Linked DNA regions of Anolis sagrei. The protein of the gene in region 2 purifies or fractionates together with the protein of the main gene of each other region. This does not show direct contact. Links are inferred from orthologs where the notes say so. Each region holds a gene or a part of one and is shown on either strand. Other genes may lie near its edges.

Region 1 (8,228 bases), about 150 Mb from region 2:
TCTGGGCCACCACGACATGGATTCAGAGGATACCTACCTGCCACAAGGTGATCTCCCACAATCTCCAAAGCAGTGATAGGGGCCAGGAGCAGTTCTGTTTCCATTGCGCCCGAAGGAGGGAAAGAGAGGACCTTGGATAGTTGTCTTTCTCAGGACATGCAGACGTCTGAGGAGAGAGAGGTGGCAATGTTGTAGATATGCATTGATTCAGATTTGTTGAAAATAGCAACCTTCTTCAATATCACACTAGTAATTTGTTTGTATAGGATTTGGTTTGTTTACTGTATTATATTTGTATGTTTTGATATGCAGCTTTCCCTTTACTCTATGTTTCTTGAGGTTGTGGGAGGGGCTCCAGATCTGGGACTGCTCAGAGCTCAGTCTCCATTTTAGAGCAGAAACACCATTAGACTATGGACTGTTACGAGCAAACTCATGATGCTGTTGATTGTAAGAAAGATGCCCTGTGTTATATGCACAGAGAAACTACTTTTAGACCTATCTGTAACTGGATTAACAAGCTATGTACCTGTATGCTGAATACATGAAGGATATGAGTAAACCAAATATATCACTTTTAACAAAATCTTGAGAGCATGATATAGAAACAAGATATTTTATGGGAGAGTAGAGGTATTTTTGTGCACCCAAGAACTGCTATATTTTGTGTATTGGCATAACCTCTGTTCCTAACAGATGAGAGACAACCGGGTTATCAGTCTAAAAACTGGAAACCAAATTGCCTTGCATAAGTACATGTGATTATATACCACTGAAGAGAAGATTTTACTCAAATGAGGTTTTTGGCTTCTCTTTGGAAGATCATACTTTTGCAAAAAGGTTATTATTTTCAAATGGTTGGGAATGACATTTTTCTCCAAAAGGTTATGGAGATTCTGGATTTCAAAAAAGATTGGATTAAGGAATATGCTGTTTATCGCCTTAGAAAATAAGAACAATTTAGAGGAGAGGAAGCTCGGGCCCTCTTCATATCAGTCCCAACCTGCAGAGCTTATGGTCAGTGATAATGGAAATTGTAGTTCAACATTAGCTAGAGTACTCACATCCCCCTTTATGATCTAGAGCAGGATCAGGCCCTCCATCTCCTTTTTCAGAGTTCAATTTGGGGGCCACAGCCATGTTTTTTCTTTGTCAATTTGGCTCTCAATTTTTCCCAGGAACTCCCCTCCTCATCCTATTATTATTATTATTATTATTATTATTATATACACAAGATGAGTACACAGCAAACAACTATTCTTAAACTATTTATTTATCAGTATTTACTATATTTTTTCATTCATTTATCATGTCAGGGGCAACCAGACCATTTACTATATTTGCTATATTTACTATATTTATACCCCGCCTTCTCTCACCTTGAAGGGAACTCACAGCACCTTACAAGTATTTATTTATTTATTTCAGACACTTCTACCCTGCAACAATTCAATGCCACATAAGCAGATATACAAATAAAATAAATATCTACCATAAGGGTAAAAAACATCTGCCTGAGAAGTTTTTACTAGATCTTTTCTAAGATCTACAGAGATACTCGCTGGAACACCTCAGCAAGCGAGAGTCCAAAAATGGCAGGCTCAAACCCAGAACCTCAACCAATGGCTGATACCAAATGAGAGACTCCCCCCTGGGCACTCAGAAGACTGGGCGACTTGGAAGGCGCTGAACTGACTGTTCTCTGGCACCACGAGATGCAGAGCCAACCTTCAGAAATGGGGCTACAAAGTGGAATCCTCGACATGCGAGTGTGGAGAAGAGCAAACCACAGACCACCTGCTGCAATGCAACCTGAGCCCTGCCACATGCACAATGGAGGACCTTCTTGCAGAAACACCAGAAGGACTCCAAGTGGCCAGATACTGGTCAAAGGACATTTAATCAACTACCAAACTCACAATTCTGTACTTTGTCTGTTTTGTTTGCTTTGTTCTGTTAGAAATGTAATACAATTGACTGGTTGCCCTGACACGACAAATAAATACTTGAGCCCAGGTATATGGTTATGTAAATTAGGTAAAAAAATCAAATATTTCCTGATACTAAACCAGCATTTGCAAGACTAGCTAAACAGGTTGATTATCTTTTTGGTGGAGCCCCTGGTGGCGCAGTGGGTTAAACCCCTGTGCCGGCAGGACTGAAGACTGACAGGTTGCAGGTTCAAATCTGGGGAGAGGCAGATGAGCTCCTTCTATCAGCTCCAGCTCCTCATGCGGGGACATGAGAGAAGCCTCCAACAAGGATGATAAAAACATCAAATCATCTGGGCGTCCCCTGGGCAATGTCCTTGCAGACGGCCCATTCTCTCACACCAGAAGTGACTTGCAGATTCTCAAGTCTCTCCTGACACGACAAAAAAAACAAACCCCTATATTTATACCCCGCCTTCTTGCACCTTGAAGGGGACTCACTGCGCCTTACAAGTAGGCAACAATTCAATGCCACATAAGCAGACATACAAATAAAATAAACATCTACATTAAAAACCATAAAGAAGTTTTCACATGAGCCCAGGTATATAGTTATGTAAATTAGGTACAGAAATCAAATATTTCCTGATACTAAACCAGCATTTGCAAGACTAGCTAAACAGGCTGATTATCTTTTTGGTGGAGTACAGCTGAAGCATTTTCTGCAGAGTCCACTATAAACACTGCCCCTTGTTGCTAACAGATTTGTGCAAATGGGTGATGATCAGAAACCTTTTACCTTTGCCAAGTTTTTCAGCATTGAGCTAAGAGGACTCCACTTGGGGATGGATCCCAGTTTAAGAAGCAGTGATCTAGAGTTAAAGAAGTAGTCAGCAGTTGCTTCTGGACTATTATCCTGGACTGTGCTGTAACCTACAAGAAGCACAGCTGTTGGGAATTGTGGGAGTTGAAGTCCAAAACACCTGGAGGGCCCAAGTCTGCCCATGCTTGATAGATTCCCAAAATGTGGTCCTTCTGCTCCAAAACAAAACACAACCAAGACCCTGCCAGATTGGCTCACAGTCAGAGGAGTTCTGGGATTTGTACTTTGGGTACAGAGAAGCCTAAAGGCCTTGCAAAACTACAACTCCCAGAATACCATAGCATTCAGTCATTGGTGGTGCCAAACTGTATTAATTCTGCACCCTTGCAACCCAGAGTCCCTTTACATTTACAGGAAACGAAACAGGGGCTCAAGTATAGTCTGGAAACAAGCCCAGAGCCAAAGGGCAATTTAAGACCCTGAAGGGGGGGGGGTCCTCCTCGCAGCGCCCCTTCCCCTTTAAAAGGCCCCACGCGCTTGTTACCTGGCCCGGCGCGCGCTCCTCTGGCGAAAGCAGCTCACGAGCCAATCGCGAGTCTTCTTTTCCAGTTCTCATCCCAACGCGGAATGTGATTGGACGCTGGGTCTCCCAAGGTCGTTCATCCTTGCGCTGTGATTCGACGGGCGTTCAGACCCGGAGAGGCGGGACGAGGAGCTTTTAAAGGTGCAGCAGAAGCATTGTTGCAAAGAGGGAATGCAGTTGGATATCACTTTAACTACATTTATTTTATTTATTTCCTATATTTATACCCCGCCCTTCTCACTCCCGAGGGGGGGGGGGAGTGTCATCATAATAAAACAATCAACAATACATTAAAATATTAAAATATTAATAATTAAAACAATTAACACACACCTGTTAAAATCAGTGGGTGTCAAGCTGCATTCATTCTATAGTGTAAAGACACCTAAATAAAACATTATTATTGTTATTAGATACACAAGCAGATTATTAGGATGAGAGACACCTACATAAAACATTACTATTGTGATTAGATACACAACAAGATTATTATTAGATACATAACAGATACACAACAAGATTAGTACACAGCAAACAAGATCACTATACTGGCCTTTTTATTGCATCACACATCAGTCACTTCCCAAGTGTCTAGGACTGTGTGATGTATCAGCGAATAATGCGTGCAGATCCAAGTTGGGTGGCCCTTTGCAGCTGGCAGATGGTAATTTTGTCAGCGCTGGTTGTTTTTAAGTGCAGGCCAAGGTCTTTAGGCACTGCACCCAGTGTGCCAATCACCACTGAGACCACCTTTACTGACCTGTGACAGTTTTTGCAGTTCTATCTTTAAATCTTCGTACTGTGTCAACTTTTCCAGTTGTTTGTCTATTATTATTATTATTATTATTATTATTATTATCATTATTAGAAACATAACAAGATGAGTCCACAGCAAACAAGATCTCTGTTGGTTGTTGTATTGGATCACACTTCGGACACTTCCCAAGTGTCTAGGACTGTGTGATGTATCGGCAAATGATGCGTGCAGATCCCAGTAAGGTGGCCTTCTGCAGCTGGCAGATGGTAATCTTGTCAGTGCTGATTGTGTTTAAGTGCAGGCCAAGGTCTTTAGGCACTGCACCCAGTGTTCCCATCACCACTGGGACTACCTTTACTGGCTTGTGCCAGAGTCTTTGCAATTTGATCTTTAAATCTTCATATTGTCTTAGCTTTTCCAGTTGTTTCTCTTCAACTCTGCTGTCACCTGGGATTCCAACATCGGAGATCCACACTGTTTTTTAACATGATCGTGAGATCAGGAGTATTATGCTCCAAAACTCTGTCAGTCTGAACTCAGAAGTCCCAGAGTACTTTGACGTGTTCATTCTCTATAACTTTTTCCAGCTTGTGATCCCACCAGTTCTTTGTCGCAGGCAGATGGTATTTGTGGCACAGGTTCCAATGAATCATCTGAGCAACAGTGTTACGTCTCTGCTTGTAGTCCGTCTGTGCGATCTTCTTGCAGCAGCTGAGGATGTGATGTATTGTTTCATCTGCTTCCTTGCAGAGTCTATACTTGGGATCTGTCATCGACTTTTCCAATTCTGGCTTTGATGGCATTGGTTCTAATGGTTTGTTCTTGGGCTGCCAGAATCAGGTCCTCCTTTATCTCCTTTTTTAAAGTTCCATTTGGGAGCCACAGCCATGTTTTTTCTTTTGTCAATTTGGCTCTCAATTTCTCCCAGGAACTCTCCTCCTCCTCCTCCTCCTCCTATTATTATTATTATTATTATTATTATTATTATTATTATTATTATTTACACAAGATGAGTACACAGCAAACAAGATCATTATACTATCCTTTCTATTGGATCACACATGGGACACTTCCCAAGTGTCTAGGACTGTGTGATGTATCAGCGAACAATGCGTGCAGATCCGAGTAGGGTGGCCTTTTGCAGCTGACAGATGGTAATTTTGCCAGCATCGATTGTTTATAAGTGCAGGCCAAGGTGTTCAAGAGCTTCACCCAGTGTGCCAGTCACCACTGGAACAACCTTTACTGGCTTGTGCCAATTTGATCTTTAAATCCTATTATTATTATTATTATTATTATTATTATTATTATTATTATTATTATTAAAGAGTATGATGGCTTGCCTGTTGTTTTTAATAGTGGACATCACATCACTAACACTATGTAAGAAAATTTGAAAAAAAAAATCTGTTCCGGGTTTGCAAGTGTAATTTCCTATTTCATTCTGCAGTACTAACTTTGAAAATAGTTCTACTCCATGAATTTCATTTTTGTGGCTGCCACAAACTACGTTGAATTGGTTGAGAGTCTGTGAAATAATCATTGAAAACTATAGCAAAATGTGCTGCAGGATTTCCCACAAAAACCATGTTTTTGCAGTGTAATAAACGTTTTCCATATTTTAAATGATAGAACCAATTAGGAAAATGACATTTATAACCCAAGAACAAAAATTATGTTACATAGTGTAATCATATTCTTTAAAAAGCACATACAAATCATGTCATGGGGCAGCAGAGGTTGTTGCTTGTATTTTGACATTTAAGACTGGCAACATTACACACTGAACGTCTAATAAAGCAAGTCTTTGAGGAACAGTCATGGTGTCCTTTGAGCTCAAAACAACAGAACAGACAACACTGGGTTTCCAATTTTTTATTGGCAGGATAGACAGCCTGACGTCTGTGCATGGGATAATAAATAAATAAAATAAATATTAAATAAGGAAGCAAAATAACTTAGGAATACAAAGGTGTCAAGAACACACACGGTAACAACCAAAATAAATGCTGATCACTTAATTAATAAATGCAACCAGCAACGTGAGGGCACTCGGACTAGCGACGGTCAGCAAGAGGTTTCGGTTGTGGGTTTGGGTCCGTATCTCATGCCTTTGGGCAAAGCAAGCCATTGTATCGATGCTACTTTCTGGCCTCAGGAGAACTTCTGTATTTTTGGATTACAATCATAAAGTGCCAACACACTTCTACCCAATTATTGGCTTCTTCAAACAATAGAAAACCCTTACATGTTTACATATCACTAGCTAGTAATGTGGAAATATCATAATTGAGAAGTGAATGCCTGCTCTAGGGCAAACACATACACACAAAAGAAATACAAGGCCCTAGTTCAGAAAGAACGGCAACGAAGAGAAATCTCTTTTGCATTCAACTTGCTTGCACTTCAGTAGTACTAAGTGAGGCAGGGCCTTTCAGCCAAGTCTAGAATCAGAGAGTTGGAAGAGACCCCAAGGGCCATCCAGTCCCACCCCATTCAGCCATGCAGGAACACACAATCCAAGCACTCCCAACAGATGGCCATCTAACTTTTTAAAAAACTTCCAGAGAAGAAAATTCCTCCATAGTCTGAGACAGCATACAGTTTCCTGCTATTAGACAGTACTTCAACGGGCTAACAGATTTATTAGACCAGTGGTTCTCAACCTGTGGATCCCCAGGTGTTTTGGCCTCCAACTCCCAGAAATCCCAGTCAGTTTACCAGCTGTTAGGATTCTGGGAGTTGAAGGCCAAAACATCTGGAGACCCACAGGTTGAGAACCACTTTATTAGACAGACTTCAATAGGCTATGGAGTCCCCAGAGGTGCAATGGGTTAAACCCTTGTCGGCAGGATTGCTGACTGAAAGGTCAGTGGTTCAGATCCGGGGAGCGGGGTGAGCTCCCCTCTGTCAGCTCCACCTTCCCATGCGGGGACATGAAAGAAGCCTCCCACAGGATGGCAAAACATCCAGATGTCCCTGGGCAATGACTCTGCAGATGGCCAAATCTCTCACACTGGAAGCAACTTGCAGTTTCTCAAGTTGGTCCTGACACGAAAAAAAGGGTTTGCAGACTTATCTGCTTAGACTTACTAAACTGCTAAAATGATTATGTGATGACATTTGAGGAACCTTGGAATTACTTGGAAAAACAAGAACCTTCAAGATTACTCATCCTCACAATAACCTATCAAAATAGTAGTGACTTCATCCCTGTCCCAGGCAGCAAGGATGGGAATTATGCACCCCCTGCATTGGATTGCAACTCTCAGCAGCTCAGACCAGAGATAACAAATTCGAGGAGTTGCAGTCCAACAACATCTGGAGGATCTCAAGATTCCCACCCCACCTTGCAAACTAAGTGTATTAAAGTGTATGATCATAAATTCATGAACATAAATTGCATTCAGTCGGTGATGTCTACAGGCACATGTTTGGGGACTGGGAGGGCTGCTTCTTTCACTTAAAGAAGGCTGACAGGCATCTCTTCCTCTAGTTCAGTGGTTGCCAGCCTTTGATCCTCCGGTTCTTTTGGACTTCAACTCCCAGAAATCCCAGCCAGCTTACCAGTTGTTAGGAATTGTGGAAGCTGAACTACAAAATACTTAGACCAAAGGATGGGAACTACAATTTGACTGTGGAGTGGTAACATGCCCCATTAACTTCACCCAGTTATAAAGCGCAATAATTTTGCCACAGACCTATACAGCTTGTGACTCACTAAGTTAAACATAGGTTTCCCGGATTTTGATCAACCTCTAACTTTTGTATCGTCGAAGGCTTTGATAGCCGGAATCACTGGGTTGCTGTAAGTTTTTCGAGCTGTATGGTCATATTCCAGAAGCATTCTCTCCTAACATTTTGCCTGCATCTATGAATAGATGCAGGCGAAACATCAGGAAAGAATGCTTCTGGAACATGGCCATACAGCCCAAAAACTTACAGCAACCCAACCTCTAACTTTTGTCTACTGTCTGGGATGACAGAGGACAGAAAGAAATGTTAAGCTTCTGCCAGATCACAATATACTCAGCTGGTGGGCTATGTTTGACTTGGCCAGTCACAGACTGCACAGGCCTCTAACCAAGGCACACAACAATAAGGACAGCGACAAAAAAGACACACATTACCACT
Region 2 (8,076 bases):
TATAAGGTGGTAGTCCCCCATAAACACTACAACAAAGTGACTTGCTTACTTCAGTTTTCGGCTCAAAACTTGGCTCCAGCTCCCAGGAGCAGCACAGAGATCCACAGCCCTTGAGACACCTAGAGAGAGAAAAGAGGGAATAAGAAAGGTAAGGGGATGCCATGGCAAGAAGACTGCAATATGAGACTAGGAAGTACAACTCATGGGTTTCTTTCCTGAAAAAAGATAGTAGGGGAAAAAGGAAGGTTTCCAAGTTTGCTCAAATTTCGAAATGATAGCCTTGCTTCTGAGCCCCAAAATATTATCTCCATGGCAAACAAACAGTATTCTGTATATGCTCAAAGGAAGTGTTCTATTGCCAAGCTTGAAGTGATTTCTGCACAGTCCACTGTAAACACTGCAAATTTGTGAAAATGGGTGGCATTCAGAAACCTTTTTCCAATTTTTTTGTGATCCCAATATTGAGCTAAAGGGGACCCCATTTGAGGTTGGGACTCACAGTTTAAGAATAGTGGTCTAGACCAGTGATTCTCAAACTCTGATCCTCCAGATATTTTGGACCTTCAGGAAATCTAGAAGTTGAGGTCCCAAACATATGGAGGGCCAAAACTGACAGCTATTCGGCAGAGTAAATTTGATTATTTCTTGCAGCTTAACTTCCCATCACTTTTATCCTACCAGATAAAAGTCCTCCTTGGCTAAGATGGCTAGGATTGATCAGAGTTGCAGTACAAGAACATCTGCAAGATTGTACCACTCCCATGCACAACTGAAATGTTTCACCCCACACATTCTGGATAGATGAATTCCAATTGTATGATGGGGCTCACCTTGAAACAAATGATATTCTTCATCCAGTTGGAGAAGTTTGAAGGCGCTGCGAGCTCGCCAGCCTTCCTCCTTCGCCAAGCGGTAGTAAATGTCCCGTTTGTCCTTAGAGGAACGTCCCATCTTCCCTTACATGAAATGTCCTGGATGTGAGAGAGAAGAAAAACAATTGACTACTATGTCAGCAAGAATTATGAATTGAGCAGCAGCATTGGCTTATTATAATCAATGAAATCAAGGCATCCATATTGGTTAAAAGTGAAGATGGTTCAAGGAATAATAAAGCTGAAGAGCCCACGTGGGTCATCCAGTCCACCCCTTGCCATGCACAATCAGAGCAGACAGCCTATCAAACCCCCACACTATAGGAATGGAAAACATGTGTTTCTAGACAAAAGTTCCTAACCTCTCTGACCACTGGCTAAAGCCCCTTCCACACAGCTGTATAAAATCCCACATTACCTGCTTTGAACTGGATTATATGGCAGTGTGGACTCTGATAACCCATTTCAAAGCAGATGTGAATTATCTGCCTTGATATTCTGGGTTATACAGCCGTGTGGAATTACCCCTTCTACACTGCTATAGAAAATTTATTTATTATTTATGACATTTATATGCCACCCTCCTCACCCTGAAGAGGACCCAGAGCGGCTTACAAGATATATATACATTCAATATATATTATTAGCATAGTATAATGTCAGTATTATATATTACTAACTTTCACCTGCCACGGGTTGCTGTGGCCCAGTCTGCTGATCTGGAAAATAAAGTAACGGGAAAGTGTTGGTTTCTAATATATGTAATTTCTTTATGCTTGTGGGTAAACAATATTTCTTGCTGTTTCTTTGCCAGTGTTGATGTGGAGATGGTCTGGTTTGCCTACTGTAGAACATGCAACATATAATTTTTCTTCTTTAGGGGTCCTTTTCAAATCTATGATACTATATCTGTGTGTGGATCATATCTATCTATTTATATCTATGGCTGGATGGCTCTTTGTCAGAAGGGCTTTGATTATATTTTCTTGCCCTGGTGAAAGGAGTTGGACTGGATGGCCTTAAGGCAGCATTTCTCAACCTGGGGGTCGGGACCCCAGGTGTGTGTGTGTGTGAGGAGGTGTCAAAAGGGTCACCAAAGAAAAACACAGTATTTTCTGTTGGTCCTGGGGCTTCTGTGTGGGAAGTTTGGCCAATTCTATCGTTGGTGGGATTCAGAATGCTCTGTGTAGGTGAACTATAAATCCCAGTAACTACAACTCCAAAATGTCAAGGTCTATTTCCCCCAAACTCCACCTGTGTTCGTATTTGGGCATATTGAGTATTCATGCCAAATTTGGCATAGATCTTTCATCGTTTGAGTCCACAGTGCTCCCTGGATGTAGGTGAACTGCAACTCCCAAACTCAAGATCAATGCCCTCTAAACCCTTCCAATATTTTCTGTTGGTCAAGTGAGTTCTGTGTGCCAGGTTTGGTTCAATTCCATCATTGATGGAGTTCAGAATGCGCTTTGATTGTAGGTGAACTATAAATCCCAGCAACTACAACTCCCAAATGAAAAAATCATAATTTTTGAGTGATGGTCACTCTTTGTGTTGTGAAATGTTTTGTTGCCAAATTTGGTGTAATTGGTTCTTTTGTTTTTAAGGTACTCATTATGCACAGAGCATTTTAATATATATACTATAATTACCATTATATTGTAATTTTATTAGTAATATGACATGTAATATAAAATATATAATTATTATATTGTATTATTATTAGTATTATATTGTTTTACATTACAATATTATAAATATATGTATATACAATATATTATATAAGTAAACCACAGGAGACAAGATGGAACTGTCTTCTGCCCCCCCCCTTCCAGACTGTATAGACTCATATAATCCAGTTCAAAGCAGCTAATGTGGCTGATCTTCTTTGGTAATCTGGATTATATGACAGGGGGCCTTAAAAGCATCTGAAAAAATGGGAGGAGTTTTCCTGACAAACCGAGACAACGGAAGGACATCGGGTATCCAGTGGAGACATCCATAAACGATGATCTCTTTATAAATCTGCAAACCGAATAAGAAAAAGCAAAGGTCTCTATAATTACCAGTGTAAATTCAGACAGTGCTCGATTGTTATCTTCAGAGAGCAGAGAAAAGCGTGGAAGAGAAGAAGCGCATGCGCAACATGACTTATGTGCGGCCGGCTCCGGAAGGAAGTGCTGTTGCCGCATTGCATCCTGGGAGTTGTCGTCCTCAGGCGCCTCTGTTTCAGAACTTCGATAAAGAAGCGGGAGTCTCTAAAACTTCGTCTCCCATGATGCAACGCAACGACGTAAGTGGCGATGGGGGCGGGGCAAGGCAGGGGAAAATAAGATGGCGGAAGGAGCAGAGAAGTCAGCGGCCACTCCGCCGGCCCCGGTCTCTTTCGGCTTCACTCGGACCACTGGGCGGAGGCGGTTTTTGGTGGTGACCGGGCAGGATGGCGGCGAGGCGAAGCAGGAGCCCGACTTCCTCTCAGCCGTCGAGGGACGGGAGTTGCAAAGGTAGGCCGGCTTCCTGCTCTCGACCAGCTTGGGCCTAGGAGCAGGGGGCGCCTCTCAAGGCGCAGCTACATTGTGGAATGAGCGCACTTCGACACCGCTTTAACTGCCTCGTCTCAATGTTGTTAAATTCAAGGATTTGACAGTGTTATTTCAATGTTTAAATGGGCAGTACTTACTTTGAAGGTAGTTGTTCTACTCCAGAAACTTCGTTTTTGTGGCTGCCGTAAACTATGTGGAATTGGTCGATCCTCTATTGAGATATTCATTGAAAAACTAGAGCAAATGTGTTGCAAGATGCCCCAGTGCAAGGTCTTTGCAGTTTAATAATCTTTTCCATGTTTTTATGATAGACCCAATTAGGAAATTTATTTATTTATTTATTTCGAGTACTTCTAGCCCGCCCTTCTCAACCCCCGAGGGGGGACTCAGGGCGGCTTACAAAAAGGCACAATTCGATGCCGACACAAAATACACATAACGTACAAAACCATAATTAAAACAATTAGCACAGTTAAAACAGTCGGTATATAACACATCAATAAAACTAATCTCATGCTCAGCATTCGTCTTTCAGAGTTCCATAATTCCATTCATTAGTCAATTCCTGTCCATCGTCAAAGTCCTTTCTTTATCTGCCAGATTATCCGAATGCCTGGTCCCAAATCCATGTTTTCAATTTTTTCCTAAAGGAAAGGAGGGATGACACTGATCTAATTTCCCTGGGGAGTGAATTTCACAGGTGGGGGGCCACCACTGAGAACGCCCTGCTCCTCGTCCCCACCAACCTCACTTGTGATAGAGGCGGGGTCGAGAGCAGGGCCTCCCCAGAAGATCTTAGACTCCGAGGTGGGACGTAAAGGGAGATCCGTTCGGACAGATACACTGGGCCGGAACCGTATAGGGTTTTGTAGGTCAAAACCAGCACTTTGAATTGTGCTTGTAATTGGATCGCCAGCTAGTGGAGCTGACACAACAGGGGGGTGGTATGCTCCCTGTATGACGCTCCGGTGAGCAATCTCGCTGCCTCCTGCTGGACTATTTGGAGTTTCAGAACAGTCTTCAAAGGCAACCCCACGTAGAGTGCGTTGCAGTAATCTAATCGGGATGTAACAAGAGCGTGGACCACCGTGGCCAGATCCAACTTCCCAAGGTACGGGCACAGCTGGCGCACAAGTTTTAGTTGTGCAAAAGCTCTCCCGGCCACCGCTGGGTTACATTGATAACCCAGGAACAGAAACCGTGTTACAATGAGGCAGGCTGGCTCTGTCAAAATTACACTCTTTAGAGACTTACTAGTGTTCAGATTGTAGTTGTTGACAGCTTTCGGCTATTGTTGTTGTTCATTCGTTCAGACATTTCCGACTCTTCGTGACCTCATGGACCAGCCCACGCCAGAGCTCCCTGTTGGCCGTCACCACCTCCAGCTCCTTCAGGGTCAATCCAGTCACTTCAAGGATCCCATCCATCCATCTTGCCCTTGGTCGGCCCCTCTTCCTTTTTCCTTCCGTTTCCCCCAGCATCATTGTCTTCTCCAAGCTTTCCTTTCTTCTCATGATGTGGTCAAAGTACTTCATCTTGGCCTCTACTGTCCTTCCCTCCAATGAGCAGTCGGGCTTTATTTCCTGGAGGATGGACTGGAGGAATCCTTTCCAGCCAACAAACCTTTATATGGCCCTGGGTATATCTATATAAATAAAAATGAAATGTTCGTTTGTGGGATTAACATAACTCACTGGACAAATTGACACCAAATTTGGACAGAATACACCTATCAGGCCAACAAGTGACCGTCACTCATAAAAACACTGAAAAACACAGCAGCAATCCAAGGCACGCTCAGCTCTTTCCTCCAACACCACAGTTCAAAAGCATCTATTTTCCTTTGCTCAGTCTTCCTTATGGTCCAGCTCTCACATCCGTAGGTGACTATGGGGAATACCATTGCTTTCGGCTAACAAATGTATTATAACATGAAGTACAGTTTACTTGCTAAGTGCACACAATTCATTGGTACATATAAGTCTATTACTAGAGATCTGGATCGAGATGGCAAATTCTTAGAACCATAGAATACTAAGCATGGAAGGTGCAGCACTCAATACATAACGGAAGCACTTTTGAAAGATGCCCATCTGACATCAGTTTAAAGGCCTCTAAAGGAGGAAGGCTCACTGCATTTATTAGCTGGCTTATCTAGTGCCAATTGTGTATATTTGTGATGCTGTAGATCAGGGGTTCTCAAACTAAAGCCCGGGGGCCGGATATAGCCCTCCAAGGTCATTTACCCGGCCGTCGCTCAGAGTTGACCTAAGTCTGAAACTACTTGAAAGCATACAACAACAACAATCCTATCTCATCAGCCAAAAGCAGGTCCACACTTCCCACTGAGATACTAATACGTTTATATTTGTTAAAATTGTTCTTCATTTTAATTATTGTATTGTTTTTAAATGTTTTTTGCACTACAAATAAGATATGTGCAGTGTGCATAGGAATTCATTCATGTTTTTTTTCCAAATTATAATCTGGCCCTCCAACAGTTTGAAGGACTGTGACCTGGCCCTCTGTTTAAAAAGTGTGAGGACCCCAGCTGTAGAGTATCTGATGCTATACAAGTAGTCCCTGAGTTACAGACATGATAGGTTCTGTAGATTTGTTCATAAGTTGAATTTGTATGTAAGCGGAAACAGAACTGTAACTCCAGCCAAATATGTATACAGTATATGTATGTGTGTGCACACATATACATATACATGCGTGCACACAAATACACATGCTTTAAATAGCATGGGGAAGGGTTAAGACCCCTGTGGTGGTTGTTTGGCTGTCTATGCCCCTGTTAAGAAGATTTCACTTCACTTTCTGACCCTGTGGTAACTAGATTTTGGAAAAATTGGCTTGTTATGGAAACAGATATTGGAGAAAAAGCTCTTTCTCCCATGATAACTCTTACCGAAGTGAATTTCCCTTCCAAGGGGTAGATTTCCCTCACTTCCTGTTGTCTCACCCCCTTTCTTAACTGTGAATCATTTGTAAGTTGGATGTCTGTTACTCAGAGACTGCATTTAGTACACAGTATCAATCATGTTAGGTAGGACTAATGAGAGTTGTGATCCAACCACATCTGCAGAGAGAGTCTCCGGTTTGGCCATATACTATGAATCTGCTGCCTCCATTTGCTTGGTTTCAGGTTGGTTTCAGGTTTCTTTAGTTCAATGTAACTATCCTACATCCTCTGAGAGAAAAGTGGGATTTAAAAAAAAACAAGCCAATTCTTCTCCAATTTAGCATGAAATAATTGCATGTGGACATGAATATAGTCACTGGGGTGCTTCTTGTTTTCTTTGCAATTGGTTTCTTTAGGCAGGTAGAGTTACACTGTCTGTGGTTCTAAATGGGTGCATGTTTTTTCCTCTGAAGTGTCCGGCCAGCCCCACAGCCGAAAGAGCTTGTCATTCCTCTCATCCAGAAGAACCAGTGGAAAAAGCCAGCACCCCTTCCGGAGCCAGATGCCATCAATGGTGACGAGGCTCAAGCAATCCGAGAGCTTATAGAAGGTGAGTACAGCCTAGCTGTACCTCTTAGTTAAATTTTGCACCATTTTCCTTTTTTGAGAGCAAGTACAGGGATATAATTACTGTTTCTCTTTTCAATTAACCATATTACAAAAGGTCAAGTGGACTAATTTGGTTGGGTGTGGAGGCCTCAACAGTACTGCGAATATGAATGATTTCATATTTCTTGCCAATCTGACAACTTTAGCTTACACTTTCTCACTCATCTTCATATTTAGAATCCAAGAAGTCACAAGAGCAATGGGAGAGTGGCACCAAGCCAGATCCCACATTTGCTATTCCCCTTCTCATGCAGAACAAAGTGCCTGATGGCTTTGAGGATGGAGAAAAAGTGGATGTCAGCCTCCGCCCAGAATCGGTAGGTGTTGGGATGGATTCACCAGGTTCGACCTTTGGAGCTTCTGGCAAAGAGGGCTTAATGCCTCTTCTTTTCTCACTTTATTTGGTAGTCAACTGCAGCAGATTATGAAGAGGTACCAGTGGAAGCCTATGGTATTGCCATGCTGAAGGGCATGGGCTGGAAGGCCGGCGAGGGCATTGGTCGCACTTTCAAGCAGTAAGTATCTCTTAAGTACTGCAGGATATAGTATTAGAAATAACAATAATACATTTTATACCACAATTTTTCAAGTCATTTAAGCAGAAAAGGTAGGCTATTGCCTCAACATATCACAGTCTAAATTCTAGCAGTGAACAAATATAAAATAAAAAGTTTAGGTGCGAAGTTTCTGAAAATGGGAGGCAGAGGAAAGAAGGGATGCATATGGGTAACTAGACCACTTGTGACATTTTTATAACAGCAAGTCACTTCTCAGAAGAGATTCAACAGAATGAATTGGTTGTAGTCAGTGCTTAGAAAAAAATCTCTGCGTATGCATATTTTGCTTCTCACCCCACCCACATAATTAGTTCTTTTTGTTGCCATGGTTTTTGAAAGCTTATGAATGTGCTTCTTGTTGTTTTTTGTGTATATTTTGTGTATTGCATTTTAAAGTGACGTTGAAAACATTTTCAATCAATACAATCTGCTTTTTAAAAATAAGAGTAGCAACATAAACTAACTTCAGATTTGTCTATGTAGGATTCCCTTTAAATTACTACTTCTGTGGTCCATTAATCTTATTG

Evidence for each region. The genes of interacting proteins can lie anywhere in the genome.
Region 1: the proteins of FTSJ1 (region 2) and WDR6 purify together in Homo sapiens (affinity purification with mass spectrometry; 3 studies listed by BioGRID and IntAct, with this or other methods). This does not show direct contact. The link is inferred for Anolis sagrei from reciprocal best matches to the Homo sapiens genes FTSJ1 and WDR6.

Annotation. Positions count from the first base shown.
Region 1 is NC_090022.1:28,501,685-28,509,912, forward strand, and holds the start of WDR6 (tRNA (34-2'-O)-methyltransferase regulator WDR6), read right to left. Parts: upstream 3,356-8,228; 5' UTR 3,299-3,355; intron 167-3,298; 5' UTR 105-166; coding exon 38-104; intron 1-37. UniProt on the Homo sapiens protein: Together with methyltransferase FTSJ1, methylates the 2'-O-ribose of nucleotides at position 34 of the tRNA anticodon loop of substrate tRNAs. Required for the correct positioning of the substrate tRNA for methylation.
Region 2 is NC_090022.1:179,132,117-179,140,192, reverse strand, and holds the start of FTSJ1 (tRNA (cytidine(32)/guanosine(34)-2'-O)-methyltransferase), read right to left. Parts: upstream 3,043-8,076; 5' UTR 2,939-3,042; intron 972-2,938; 5' UTR 952-971; coding exon 831-951; intron 120-830; coding exon 50-119; intron 1-49. Other genes in the region: GPKOW (G-patch domain and KOW motifs-containing protein), read left to right, coding at 3,207-3,376, 6,797-6,933, 7,170-7,309, 7,401-7,507. UniProt on the Homo sapiens protein: Methylates the 2'-O-ribose of nucleotides at positions 32 and 34 of the tRNA anticodon loop of substrate tRNAs. Requisite for faithful cytoplasmic translation.